3 linked regions of the Arabidopsis thaliana genome follow. The protein of the gene in region 1 interacts with the protein of each later gene in a pairwise test. Each region holds a gene or a part of one and is shown on either strand. Other genes may lie near its edges.

What was found. The genes of interacting proteins can lie anywhere in the genome.
Region 2: the proteins of AT1G63360 (region 1) and AT5G59940 interact in a protein complementation assay, tested with the Arabidopsis thaliana proteins (one large-scale study listed by BioGRID).
Region 3: the proteins of AT1G63360 (region 1) and AT5G66830 interact in a protein complementation assay, tested with the Arabidopsis thaliana proteins (one large-scale study listed by BioGRID).

Annotation. Positions count from the first base shown.
Region 1 is NC_003070.9:23,497,939-23,504,008, reverse strand, and holds AT1G63360 (Disease resistance protein (CC-NBS-LRR class) family), read left to right. Parts: upstream 1-1,687; 5' UTR 1,688-1,839; coding exon 1,840-4,494; 3' UTR 4,495-5,525; downstream 5,526-6,070. Other genes in the region: AT1G63370 (Flavin-binding monooxygenase family protein), read left to right, coding at 1-59, 151-286, 359-532, 625-804.
Region 2 is NC_003076.8:24,135,569-24,140,018, reverse strand, and holds AT5G59940 (Cysteine/Histidine-rich C1 domain family protein), read right to left. Parts: upstream 2,795-4,450; 5' UTR 2,608-2,794; coding exon 652-2,607; 3' UTR 536-651; downstream 1-535. Other genes in the region: AT5G59930 (Cysteine/Histidine-rich C1 domain family protein), read right to left, coding at 3,523-4,450.
Region 3 is NC_003076.8:26,689,282-26,693,224, forward strand, and holds AT5G66830 (F-box protein (DUF295)), read left to right. Parts: upstream 1-1,971; 5' UTR 1,972-2,022; coding exon 2,023-3,207; 3' UTR 3,208-3,408; downstream 3,409-3,943. Other genes in the region: AT5G66820 (uncharacterized protein), read left to right, coding at 338-1,829; AT5G66840 (SAP domain-containing protein), read right to left, coding at 3,641-3,943.

The DNA of each region.
Region 1 (6,070 bases):
TCTGTTGTTTATCAGAACGGGAAGACGATTTCGGTTGATATTATTATGCATTGCACTGGGTATACATTCTTTCTTTAGTTTAGTTTCTGTTTAGTTTCTCATATATCATGCATGGTGTGGTTATTTGACAAAGCGCTTTACTTTTCGTAGGTATAAGTATCATTTTCCGTTTCTTGATACCAATGGAATTGTCACTGTAGATGATAACCGTGTTGGGCCATTGTACAAAGACGTCTTCCCTCCAGCATTTGCACCTTGGCTTTCCTTCATCGGTATACCATGGCAGGTTACATACCTATAAATTGCTCTTTTTCACGTTTCCCCTCAACATTTTAAGTCATAACAAATCGGATTTCAGGTGTTACCGTTCCCTATGTTTGAGCTGCAAAGCAAGTGGATCGCGGGTGTTTTATCGGGTCGGATCCCGCTTCCTTCCAAGGAAGATATGATGATAGAAATCAAAACCTTTTACTCCACACTTGAAGTCCAAGGGATTCCAAAGCGATATACTCATCGTATGGGCAATACTCAGGTTTAAAATCCCAAGTTTCCGCACATAAAAATAAAATAAAATAAACCAAAGCTAAACAGAAACACATCAATGACATTTTTTGTTGTTTGCAGTTTGAGTATGATAATTGGTTGGCTTCACAATGCGGATGCTCAGAAACAGAGGAATGGAGGAAAGAGATGTGTTTGGCGAATGGTGTTAGGAAGGAAGCCCATCCTGAGACGTATAGAGACGAATGGGATGATCATCACTTAGTTTCTGAAGCTTATCAAGATTTCTCTTTGTACTCATAAACAAAACATTTTATACATGAAAGTAAATTTACCGAATTTGTAAATGCCAATACTGCCATTCAATGTAAAAGACATATTGTAAAACATTAGGCGCACCAGGCAATGTAGCTCTGGCGTCTACAATGTATGTATCCCACGGTCTATTACATCTTCAGAAACTACGATGGTCTGCTTCTCGCTGTCGGTGGTGTTATATCATCGTCGCTGGCACTGGCAAATACTATGACTCTCATAGCGAAGATTACAAAACAAAATTTAAGAAAAAATTTCAATGTTCGAGATCAAGACGACAATAGACTCGTATTTTAGGTCTCAGAAGAACTGCTCTGATGAATGATACCATTTGAAACTTGACTCGATTATAAAGAATGTTGAATGTTCTGTGTTTTTGATAGATGGTTTTACAACGTATACACAAAGGTAAACGTATACAAGACTTGCCGAACAAGTATAACGTACAACACAATCCAATGCAGCCTACTAATGATAATCCATTGATTTGACTGTTTGAGAGATAAGAGATACTGTACTGTAGTTCTTTTCTTAATAAGGCTTTCACCACCAAAGTAACTAAAAGTTTTGATGATTTTGCAATTTCAGTATCCGACGTTTTCGAAGCTAAAAGATTTTTCTCTTTTACTTTCGAAACAATTGAAAACAAAGCTATCAGTGGTTTTACTTTGCTTTTTTTCCAATGAAATTCTATTCCGACTTTTGATCTTTAAGTTTTTTACAAATGTAAGAGGAAAATTAATTTAACGTCAGGTCATTCGGCCACTAAGCCAATGGAGACTTAGTAAATAGTGTGGCCCAGCAGAGGTCAATAGCCGCCACGATTTACCAAATTGAGAAGGTCGTTATGCTTCTCAACCATGCAAAGTATCTCATATTTTGGACTCACTCGAACGAGAGAATTTGATCTTATTTCGAGTGGACTAAAACGTAAGTCTTATCTTCAATTATTATTTGCATCGTCTCTAGTACGTTTGCTCAGATTACTAAATTTCAAATTTCAGATCTCTCAATTTCTGTAAAATGGGTATTTCTTTCTCGATACCCTTTGATCCGTGTGTAAATAAAGTCTCTCAATGGCTAGACATGAAAGTAAGTTATACTCACAATCTCGAGAAGAATCTCGCAGCTTTGGAGAAAACCATGAAAGAGCTCAAGGCTAAGCGGGATGATTTGGAAAGAAGGCTCAAAAGAGAGGAGGCTAGAGGTCTACAAAGGCTTTCCGAATTCCAGGTATGGCTTGATAGTGTTGCGACTGTCGAAGACATAATCATTACTCTTCTTAGAGATAGAAATGTTGAAATTCAAAGGCTGTGTCTTTGCCGGTTTTGCTCTAAGAGTTTAACGAGGAGCTATCGTTATGGGAAAAGTGTTTTCTTGAGGTTGAGGGAGGTTGAGAAACTCAAAGGTGAAGTTTTTGGAGTGATAACCGAGCAAGCTTCAACATCTGCGTTTGAGGAACGACCTCTTCAACCGACAATCGTTGGTCAAGACACAATGCTCGATAAGGCAGGGAAACATCTCATGGAAGATGGAGTTGGTATTATGGGTATGTACGGTATGGGCGGTGTAGGGAAGACAACACTTCTCACTCAGCTCTACAATATGTTCAATAAGGATAAGTGTGGATTTGATATTGGCATTTGGGTTGTCGTGTCTCAAGAGTTTCATGTGGAGAAGGTTCAAGATGAAATCGCTCAAAAGCTTGGTCTTGGTGGAGATGAGTGGACACAGAAAGATAAAAGTCAAAAGGGGATTTGTTTATACAATATCTTGAGGGAAAAGAGTTTTGTGTTGTTTTTAGATGACATATGGGAAAAGGTGGATTTAGCTGAGATCGGAGTTCCGGATCCAAGAACCAAAAAAGGACGTAAATTGGCATTTACGACTCGGTCCCAAGAGGTATGTGCACGCATGGGGGTCGAACATCCAATGGAAGTCCAATGCTTGGAAGAGAATGTGGCATTTGATTTGTTCCAAAAGAAGGTTGGACAAACAACACTTGGAAGCGATCCGGGGATCCCCCAACTTGCAAGAATAGTTGCGAAAAAATGTTGTGGCCTACCATTGGCGCTCAACGTCATAGGCGAGACCATGTCATGCAAAAGGACGATACAAGAATGGCGTCACGCTATACATGTTTTGAATTCATACGCTGCAGAGTTTATAGGCATGGAGGATAAGGTTCTTCCGCTTTTGAAGTATAGCTACGATAACCTTAAGGGGGAGCAAGTCAAATCGAGTTTGTTGTATTGTGCTTTATATCCAGAAGATGCGAAAATTCTGAAAGAAGATTTGATAGAGCATTGGATATGCGAGGAAATTATAGATGGAAGTGAAGGTATAGAAAAGGCTGAGGACAAGGGTTATGAGATTATAGGTTGTCTTGTTCGCGCATCATTGTTGATGGAGTGGGATGATGGGGATGGACGACGTGCTGTGTGTATGCATGACGTTGTTCGTGAAATGGCCTTATGGATCGCTTCTGAACTGGGAATACAAAAGGAGGCCTTCATTGTGCGTGCAGGTGTTGGCGTACGTGAAATTCCAAAGATTAAGAATTGGAATGTTGTGAGAAGGATGTCATTGATGGAGAACAAGATTCATCATCTCGTTGGTAGTTATGAATGTATGGAACTCACAACTTTGCTCCTGGGAAAGCGAGAATATGGAAGTATTCGGAGTCAATTAAAAACGATCTCGAGTGAATTCTTCAATTGCATGCCAAAGCTAGCTGTTTTGGATCTATCGCATAATAAAAGTCTCTTTGAATTGCCGGAAGAAATATCAAATCTAGTTTCCTTGAAATATCTCAACTTGTTATATACTGAGATAAGTCATTTGCCTAAGGGTATACAAGAGTTGAAGAAAATAATTCACTTGAATTTGGAGTATACAAGGAAGCTTGAGAGCATTACTGGGATATCAAGTCTGCATAACTTGAAAGTTCTGAAATTATTTCGTTCTAGATTACCATGGGATCTCAACACAGTGAAGGAGCTGGAAACTTTGGAACATTTAGAAATTTTAACCACAACTATCGATCCAAGAGCGAAGCAGTTTTTGAGCTCCCATAGGTTGCTGAGTCATTCACGATTGCTAGAGATCTATGGATCTTCTGTATCCTCACTAAATAGACATCTAGAATCACTTTCAGTATCTACGGACAAGCTTCGCGAATTTCAAATTAAGAGCTGCAGTATCTCTGAGATTAAGATGGGAGGGATATGCAACTTCTTGAGCCTCGTCGATGTGAATATATTCAATTGTGAAGGCTTGAGGGAATTGACGTTTCTGATCTTTGCTCCAAAGATTAGATCTCTTTCTGTTTGGCATGCAAAAGACCTAGAAGATATAATAAACGAAGAGAAAGCTTGTGAAGGTGAAGAATCGGGGATTCTTCCTTTTCCAGAGCTGAATTTTCTTACTTTACATGATCTACCGAAGCTGAAGAAGATCTATTGGAGACCTCTACCCTTTCTATGTCTAGAAGAAATCAATATAAGGGAATGTCCAAATCTGAGAAAGCTTCCACTCGATTCCACAAGTGGCAAGCAAGGTGAAAATGGATGCATCATACGTAACAAAGATTCACGTTGGTTTGAAGGTGTGAAATGGGCAGACGAAGCTACGAAAAAACGCTTCTTACCTTCATGCCAATTGATTTCTCTTAAATGATTTTCAAGGATTGTGTCAGCTGTTACTTTTGAGTATATTTCCAAAAAAAAATATATCCAGAGACCCAGGCTGCTTACTAAGGGAGCAAGTTGGAAGTTGATAATGTCATTTGGGTTCTAAATGGAAACTTTCTATCTCTTTGTTGCTTTCTGCTGAATTCTCTACCTGCTTATCTCTCTGTTGTGTGTTTTGCATTCTGTGTAATCAGTATCACACTTTGTATTATTGCTTTATGTGAGTTCTTTTTATAGTCCTTGCCTTCCACATGAAACATACTTTGATGACTAGTTAGTGATGAATGTATGCAAATTGATTGGGATGTGGATCAACGATTCTGAGTCTTGTGATTTCTAATTATGATCTTGCAAAAACTAGTTGATACTAATAATTCGATAGCTATTGGCATGAGAAAGAAAAGACAGTTGTAGGAGTACTCAATCCCTGAAAAGGCATGTTTGGATCTGAAAGTATTGAGACTGTGAGGTTCTGATGTTTCATTGGACCTCAACACAGTGGAGGAGTTGCTAGTTTTGGAAAGATTAAAAATTTTAACCATAAGAATTGGTTTATGATTCAGGTTTGGTTCAATTTTTAATTTCTCATCTTAAGCTTATGAGCTGTACACGAGATTTAGAGATTAGTAGTCTTCAACTAGAATCATCTGAGATAAAGATTGATATGACGTGCATTCAAAGCAACACAAGTTCTCTGTTGCGCAATCCAATAATTTCTTGAGTCTTTCTGATGTGTATGTATAAGATTGTAAATGCCTAGGGAGTTTACATGGCTGATCTTTGCTCCAAGTCTTAGATATATTGATGTTGAATGTTCTGACTAGCTCTAGAAGATATAATAAGTAAAGAGAAGGCTAGTTTAAGTGAAGAATCAGGGACTTTTCTTACGCTTACAAATTCCTGTTAATGAAGTGTTTATAGTTTCATTACTCAGTTTTGTTTGTTTAATTCTTTTCAGATTGGATAAAATGTTTGTTACAAACAGTATATGCTTCGGCACTTTTTATTTTAAACAGATTTGTGTGTTTGAATGTGGTCTGTCTCTACTCTGTTACTACTATATACCAATATATATGGAATTAACCTTCGAATCTTGGTTAACAAGTAAATGTACCCGTCGTCGCTAATGGAAGACAAAGACTTCCCTCGAAACTAATTCCCCAGCTTAATTAGGTCTTCTATACAATCCACAACAAATTGAGAAATGTGATGGCATAGTGTAACTCATAGTGTGATGATTGCTCATATTGTTTCACTACAACGTGTGTGTTCCGTGGCGAAGGAGAAGACTATCTAACACAGTTTTGATTAAAAAAAAACCAAAACGACAATTCAAGGCATGCCAATGTAACTCTGTCATTAAAAGTTTTGATGATTTTACAATTTTAGTATCCGGTGATTTCGAAGCTAAAAGATTTTCTCTCTCTTTTTTTTTTTTGGAAACAATTGAAAGCAAAACTATCAGTTGTGTTAGCTTTTTCCCAAGGAAGTTATATTTCGACAATTGAGTTTACAAATGTAAGAGAGGAAAGTTATTTTAACGTCAGGTCATTCGGCCACTA
Region 2 (4,450 bases), on another chromosome or scaffold:
GTTTCGTGGTGTAGTTGGTTATCACGTCAGTCTAACACACTGAAGGTCTCCGGTTCGAACCCGGGCGAAGCCATTATTTTGACATATTTTTACCTTGGTTATATATACTTGGCCATTCGGTGTATAGCAATTCAATATTTTCAATATGTTACCGTATAACAATGATTTTCATAACTATAAGTGATCATGCTATCGCATAACAATGAGTCTGATTGCATTCTAGTTTCTTACAGATAAAACTGGAAGAGTATAATGATAATTAAAGCTGTGTTGTGAATTCGGGCAAAATTTAGAGAAATCTTAGAAAACATAACTAAGAATAAACAAATATCTTTGAACCTTGTAGTCTCTAAGATATTTTCTTGCATTAATCTTATGAGTGATGGAATTATAAACTCTTAGGCATATCTTTATATAGATAAAATATAGAGACATGGAAACCCTTAACAGTATCTATTAGAATTTAAATCACAACTCAGTTATGTTGCAAGACGAGCAAAGTAAAGAAGTTCAAATTAAAATCAGATATTGAATTTGGACTTGTAGGGCAGCTAGCGAATGCAACCATGAATAATTCACTCATCTTGTAAAATATAAAGGGTATCGAAGTTTCATCCTTTCCACACAAAATTAAACAAATTAAACACTCAATCAACATGATCTAGCTGAAACCATATCAGAAAAACATGAACGAGAACATATGTATACATTGTCTTCATCACAAGCTTTTAAGATGACGGAGACCTTGCATCGAGAGCGACACATGCTGCATAATGGTCGAGTGTTGTGATTGTTAAGAACCACATAAAATTTCTTTCCCCCAACAGTATCAACCATGCGTCCTGGCATGAGACGTGAGAAATCTCCTAGTACGCATTCCACATGCAATGTGACTCCACAATCAAAGCTTGTATAGAACCATTTACTTGGATCTAACTCTGTCTCGCATATATCGCACCAATACTTTCCATTCGCCGTTTCACCACAAGATAGAGTGAGAGGGTGCTCATCGTTTCTATGCCTTATCTTTAATGGCAAACTAGCGCAACTTAAACACAAATCAAAGTCACAAGCATTGCAACAAAGCATATGAACCGTTACCTTATGGCATGCATTGCAAGAGTGATTTTCCTTAGAATCAAAATATAGTGGATGCAAATGGCCATTATGAACGAACGGCTCAGAAAGAGAACCACAATGTACATCTATCTCCCACCCTCTTTGAGATGCGTACTTAAAACCAGTAGAACATTCACCACAGTACCCACAGTCTATCACATCACGAACACGACTACTTGCTCCCACTAATTTGAATGGTGTGGTTGCAAACACGAGTCTCTTCTTCATAGGAAGATTAGCACACTTTTCATGGAGAATGAAATGACATTCCTCACAACTGTAGATCGGATCAAATCCGATCGGATATGTACATGCTTCACATAGTGCGTACGCGTCATGAATGATGCCTTCTTTGTGCAGCCTTAGAGTATGTTGTTCATGACTAAAATGACTTATCAAGTTATCACCCATTACCTTGAATGGTGCAATATCTTCTGTGATCTCAGATGTCCCTTCTAATTCCACACCATCCCATACATTATCATGTACTGCGCATTCCCAGTGAACTGCATAGTTACTGCAAACGACACAAGCATATGCCCCACAATCCCTGTCAACAATTTCGCGGCAAACTCCGCAGTTCAAATATCCAGGGCCAAGCTGATGAGTGTAAGAGATACGATGGTCGTGACGGTTGATGTTTATGACTTGAGGTAGGTTGATACCATTCCCATTGACAACGAAACCACAAGGAAGGCACATATAAGCTCTGCTGTTATATGTCAGCGCGGAACCTTGATATGAAATTCCGTTTAGAAAGAGAGTAAGTTGATGCTTGTGGGTCTTGGTATGCTCGATAAAAAGAGGTGGTGGGCGTTTAGTACAACCAAGGCATGATGTGAAGTTGCAAACAGAACAATAATAAAGCATATTTTCTGGTTGTTGTTCACATAAAAGACAAATCTTCTCAGCATTATCCGTAAGTGATTCAGATGCGATGAGCTTGAGAGGATGACTAGGGTGGCAAGGATGATTTACCTCTTTTGAGAGATGGACGCAATCCACGTGGAAGTACAGATCGCATCCAAGACAAGAATAGGAAGGTCCACCAATAGAATCCTTGCAAACTTCACAAGGGGCCTTCTCCTCTCGTTTCTTCAAAAAGACAAGTGGATGGTCATGACAGATAGGATGTTCAATAGCAGGCGGTGATGGGTTTATCCCACAAGTCAAATCCAGCTTGAACTCACATGTGGGACAACTATAACCAGCGGCTTCCAATCGCTTTTGTCCACACAAATCACATGGAAGATCTCCCAGGCCATTGGTGAGAAAGAGAGGATGTTGTTGGTGGAAAGAGTGGCTGATCTCAGATGGGGCCTCAGCGCACTCCTTATGAAACCGAGCTTTACAGTCAGAATCATTGCAGACGTACCCGCCGTAGACGAAATCTTCTACACCGCAGCCTTTACATGTACTAAAAACGATCCGAGCCGAAGGAAATATAGGGTGCTCGTGAATGGGTAGCTTTACTGCTCCTGTATCCATGTATGATGTATGTGAATGAGATTCTTTCTTTTCTCTTTTTCTTTAGGAGAAATGGAAGCTGAACGTGGAGGTTAGAGAAATTTTGATCCCATCCAACTTCCAACAAATATGATACAGAGTTTCCAGATCAGGATTGTAATATTTTTATTTTAAAGTCAAAATCAAAATATTCGAATTTGATCCGAAATATGTTTTTACTTTTTAGATATATATTCTAAACTTATAAATCATGATTTGATAGCATTGACTATCTATTTCCGAGAAATATTACATTGCACAACATGCTGTAGTTGTTATTGTTGCGTTCGATATTATATTTTAGCAATATTGTTTGATATGAATCGATTTAGCTTTTGGATTTCTATTGATTGTCAAAAGTAGTTGTTCAAAAAGGGGCTCCTCCTCTCGCTTCTTCAAAAAGACTAGTGAATGGAGAATAGTCATGACAGATAAGATGTTCAATGGCAGGCGGTGATGGTTTTATCCGCCCGCCCATAAATCAGGTAAAACATGGTCTTATCCGTCTGTCAAAAAAGATTTTATAATTAAATAAATTTAATTTTTTTTATTAGGTGACAAATTCTAATTAACTGGAATAAAAGCGGTAAATAAAGGTTCACCGCGAATATTTTTTCAAGTGTGAAACCACCAAGAAAGATCCACCGGTTTATTGCAAAGTACTTCACAAAACATGAACGGGAACAATAACATAAGTCTCCAAAGTAACTGTATCGATCGATTTACTGGTATAGAACGATTTAATTGGATCTAACTCTCTCTCGCATGTATCACACCAATAATTTTCATAAGATTAAATAGGGGAAGAATTGAGAAACCACCGTAAAAGATACACTCATCAATTTAGAATAAAACATCAAAGCCTTTTCCTCTCACATGAAAAATCGTAGCAATGCCTCACAGATAATATGAGAAATGCATCAGAAAACATGAACGTGAACAAAAAAAATATACAATGTTACCCTCACGAAACTTAAGGATTACAGAAACCTTGCATCGAGAGTGACACCGGCTGCACATTGGTCGCGTGTTGTGATTATTGAAAACCACCTCCACGGTATATACCCGGTAGTCAATGGTGCATCCTGGCATGAGACGTGAGAAATCTCCTAGTACGCATTCCACATGCAATGTGCCTCCACAACCAAAGCATGTATAGAACCATTTACTTGGATCCAACTCTGCCTCACAGATATCACACCAATATTTTCCATTTGCTTCTTCACCACAACATAGCGTGAGAATGTGCTCATCGTTGCTATGCCTTATCTTTTTTGGCAGACTAGCGCACCATAAACACAAATTGAAGTCACAATCAGCACAACAAAGCATATAATCTCTTATGGTTTTTTGACAAGCATTGCAAGGAAGCTCCTTTTGCTTTTGATCAAAATATAAGGGATGTAAATGGCCATCATGGACGAACGGCTCCGTAAGGGAACCACAATGTACATCGATATCGCTTTGCCTCCTTTCTTGGGACTTGTACTCGAAACCAGTAAAAAACATTCCACATAACTTGCAATCTAAAACCTTGCAAACATCATTACCCGGTCCCAGTAATAGGAATGGTAAGGTAGAAAAGACAAGCCTTTTCTTCATAGGGAGATTAGCACACTTTTCATGAAGAATGAAACAGCATTCCTCACAATTGTATATTCGACCAAATTCGACTGGATGGCCACATGCTTCACATCGTGTACTATCATCATAAATGATATTGTTCTTGTGGAGTCTTAAAGAATGTTTGCTGTGACTAAAATGACGAATCAAGTCATCCCCAACCACCTTAAATGGCGCAATATCCTCAATATTCTCAGCTTTC
Region 3 (3,943 bases), on another chromosome or scaffold:
CTGCTTCTTCTATCACTTACTTGTTCTGGGTTTTAGTTCGATGTTTTCATAGAACAGTTTTAATTCAAGTTTCGCCTTTCGCTATCAATAGGAATAGTTCCTTCCTCTTTGTCTTTTTTCTGTTTATAGAACTATTTCTTGCTTCTGATTTCTTCAAATGACATTCTCTCTTTTGGGTACTATTCAAATTTTCATTTTGTTTTAACCCTTTTTCATTTTTGGGTGATTTTTTTTGTTTCCTAGAATGTTTATAGCTTTTTAAGTAGTTGGTGAATCCCCAAATTAATTTCATTGTTTGTTAAACCTCTCTTATGTGTTTGTGTTTATGTGTTAACAGAGGAGGAGCATTTGGTTCATCAAAGGCGTTTCATTGTCTTCTCCTTCTCTCATGTCTATTGCTTTCATCAGTCAATACATTGCATAACTTAGCTGAATATGGTTACAACACTGGTTCTGCTGCTATGGAGTTTCAGGGCTTTATTAATGGTGAAGATTCTGGGAGTGTAGCAATCCAGAAATCTGACCAGAATGTTTGTCCTAGTTCACAGCTGTTTTGTTTCCTTTCAGCTTTAGGATCAGAGAATCGGTCTGATCCATTTGTGTTGGCTTGTCCCAAAGAATCACGGAGTAGCTCTGCTCTGATCAGAAAAAATCTATCTGGTGTTGTGTGGCTATCTCTGAAGCCTGTCCACATCATAGAGTTTCAGCCATTTACTGGATTCTTTCACATTGGAGACACTTGTTACGAGCCTATGTCCAAAGAGCTCTATACTAAGAAGACCACAAGGGAGTTAAGTATTACGGTTTCAGGAAAACAATGTGGAGGAAATGGTTTTATGGTGAACCATCCATGTGAAGGATTTTCATTAGAACCAGGGGATTCCATAAAGTTTCTCTTTTTCTACCAGAGTGAACTCTCTTGGGCATCTGGAGTTGCTGTTTTTGCAGTACCTATGAAGGCGACCGCACCTGTTTTGATGCTTAGTCTCTACAAAAAACCGGTCTTTTGGGTGCGGACGAAGAAATTCGCAATTGCGGTTCTTATTGCTGCAGCTCTACTCATTCTGATATTTTGCTTCAATGATCACTTCATCGAGGAGAACAACAAGAGAAACAATAGCAACCACATGGAGTCGAGAGAAGTTGAGAAACCATCTACGATCACAATATCCCCTGAAATGGATTCTCTGCTAAGATCCATAAGCAAAGAAAGCCTGCAAGTGTTCGATGAGGTTCCCAAGAACAGCAGCAGCGTTAAGCCAGTTGCTTCTTCACACGAAGAAGAAGCATCAGAAGCTGTGAATCTCACTGTAAAGACAGCGAAAGACAAGAAGAGGCGCCGTAACAAGAAAAAGAAGAAAGGAGGAATCAACGGATTAACACCAGAGTGCACAGATGTTTCAAGCAGTTACAGCGGAAACTCAACTCCTAGGTCTCCAATATCACCAGAACCACCTACTACTCAAGCCGCAACGAAGCTAGTAAAGCCTCCTACTAAACCGGTCCTATCGCACTCAGCAACGTTTCCGGTTTCAGGGGTTAAGTCAATGATCATACAACGAAGCTCACTGGCTCCAAATGTGAGAGCACCTGGAGCGAAATCAAGAACCGAAGTGAAAGAAGAGAAAGCGAAAGAGTATAGGTACTATGATATCTGGGGAGATCACTTGACAGGGCTTAATTTGATGGATAAGTTAAAGGAAGTGAGAGAAGGTAAAAGCTCAGGTTTTGATGGAGAGGAGTGTGAGAGTTTCTTTGTTAAGGGTCCTCAGAACTTGTTAGCAGACTCTCACACCAGGTTTGTAAGTTTCTGTAACCAATGGGGCTAACAAAGAAATAAAGAATGAAAAACAAAAATATTTTATATAATAATGCAAGGCCCAATGGGCTTTCTGAGCAGCCACCAAGCCATTCCATTAGTGAGATATAAACACAAGCAACGTCAAACCTAAATAATGAATGTCACGTAGACAAGTTTCGACGTCTTTATAAACTTGAAGGGCTTGGTTAAGATTCCGTCCTATGGCCTCTCCGCTACTCCCTGGTCCACCGGATCAGAGAAGAAATCTCGATTGGTGCTGGTCGAAGCTTCCTTCAGATCTCATGCAATTTGTATTTGACCGCCTTGGTTTTGCCGATTTCCAACGTGCAAAATCCGTTTGTTCATCTTGGCTTTCAGTTTCGAGAAATTCTCAGCCAAACAATCAAATCCCTTGGATGATTCGATTCCCCAAGGACAACAATCACTGTCTCTTGTTCAATCCTGAAGAGGAAGACAAGATGTACAAAACTCCAAATCTCGGCAACGATTTCGCAAAGAGCTCTTGTATCGCCAGTTATGGAAGCTGGCTTTTGATGCAACCTGAATCAGAATACATGGAAGAAGACTTAGACCATCAATGTAATAATCTCTATATTCTTGATCTTCTAACCCGCGAGAGAATCAATCTACCGATTCTCCAACCAGAGTTTGGACTCACATGTCCGATATTATGGACCGATGAGAAAAGCAAAGATCACCTAGTTATTGGAATGGCTCATGAAGAATTAGCCATTTCTTTCAAGAAAGGAGATTCCTCGTGGAAACAAATCCCAACCTTGTCAGGTATCGAAGAGTGTTTTAGCATGGTTTTTAAGGATCACAAACTTTACTGTCTGAGCAATTATAAACTCAAGGTCTTCGATTTCTCTGGAGATATTCCGGTCAAAGTTTTCAAAACTAGCGTAAGTAAGTTGTTAAATAATCCACTATGTATTTCCATGAGAATGAGACTTCCTGGAATTCCAATGAAGGACCAGTTGAATCACTTCAAGGATGATATGGTAGTCACTCTAGCCGGACATGTCTTAATTGTTAAGTGCCATCGTCCGAGTCTGTCCAAGATATGGAGCTTTGAAATCTACAAGATGGAAGGGAACAACAACAAGTGGGAGAAAACTGTTTCTCTGGGAGACGAGACAATTCTTTTGGATTTGGGTATCACAGTGCTCGCCAAGGACATGCAAGGGATCAAGGCCAATTCCATCTACTTCTCCAATCCTACTCCTTATTTTAAAGATCAATATGACGAAAACGAAATCTTCATATTCGACCTCGATTCCAACACCGTTGAACAACCGCACCGATCTGTTTCCTCTTCCTTTCCCCGCTCTAGAGCCCGATGGTTCTTGCCATGTTTCAAACGAGAATCATACTTCCTTCAGTAATTTGTCTTTTTTTTAATGTATCTACGTATTCTTCATATCAAGTATTGCAACATTTAGTAATAAAGAATAAAGCCAACAAACGATACTTGCCATATAGAGTAATAATTAAGCCAAGAACACCATCCTTGATTACAAGGTAATAACTTTTGAGGACGGTCTCGGACCCTCAAGATGAGAGTGAAGGCAAAAAATCACACCCGTAAAAAAAAAAAAAAAAAAAAAAAAAAAAAAAAAAAGAGAAACGGATGATCAAGAGAATCATGAGCCTAGAAAACTTTCTTACGAATCACAGACAAGGGTTGAGAACCGATGATCAGGACGCTTTCCTATGGCCTTAGAACCTGGAAATTGTGTTGAAGTAAGTTTACTTGCAAAAGAGACAAGTACCAAGTTTGTATGATGATGAAAGATATTACTCACGAGGTACGGTGTGTTATCGATAATTTGGTCTGTGATTGTCTCCTTCTCTTCTGTTGTTTACCATGTACAAGTCCCTTGCCCCATGGTTGTAGCTACTATTGAAGTTGGAATGGTAGGTCTGATGGTTCATGTATGGCCCTTGAGTGACCTCACTCTGCCTGTATGTGTCTCCTTCTCTTCTGTGGCTTATCATCATATGCGAGAAGTGTTCCAAGTCCCTCACTCCCAGGTTGTAGCCACTGTTCGAGCTGACATGGGGGTTCTGGTATGGTCTCCTCTGATGAGTAACCGGCACAGTGTGTGTATTGACATGTGG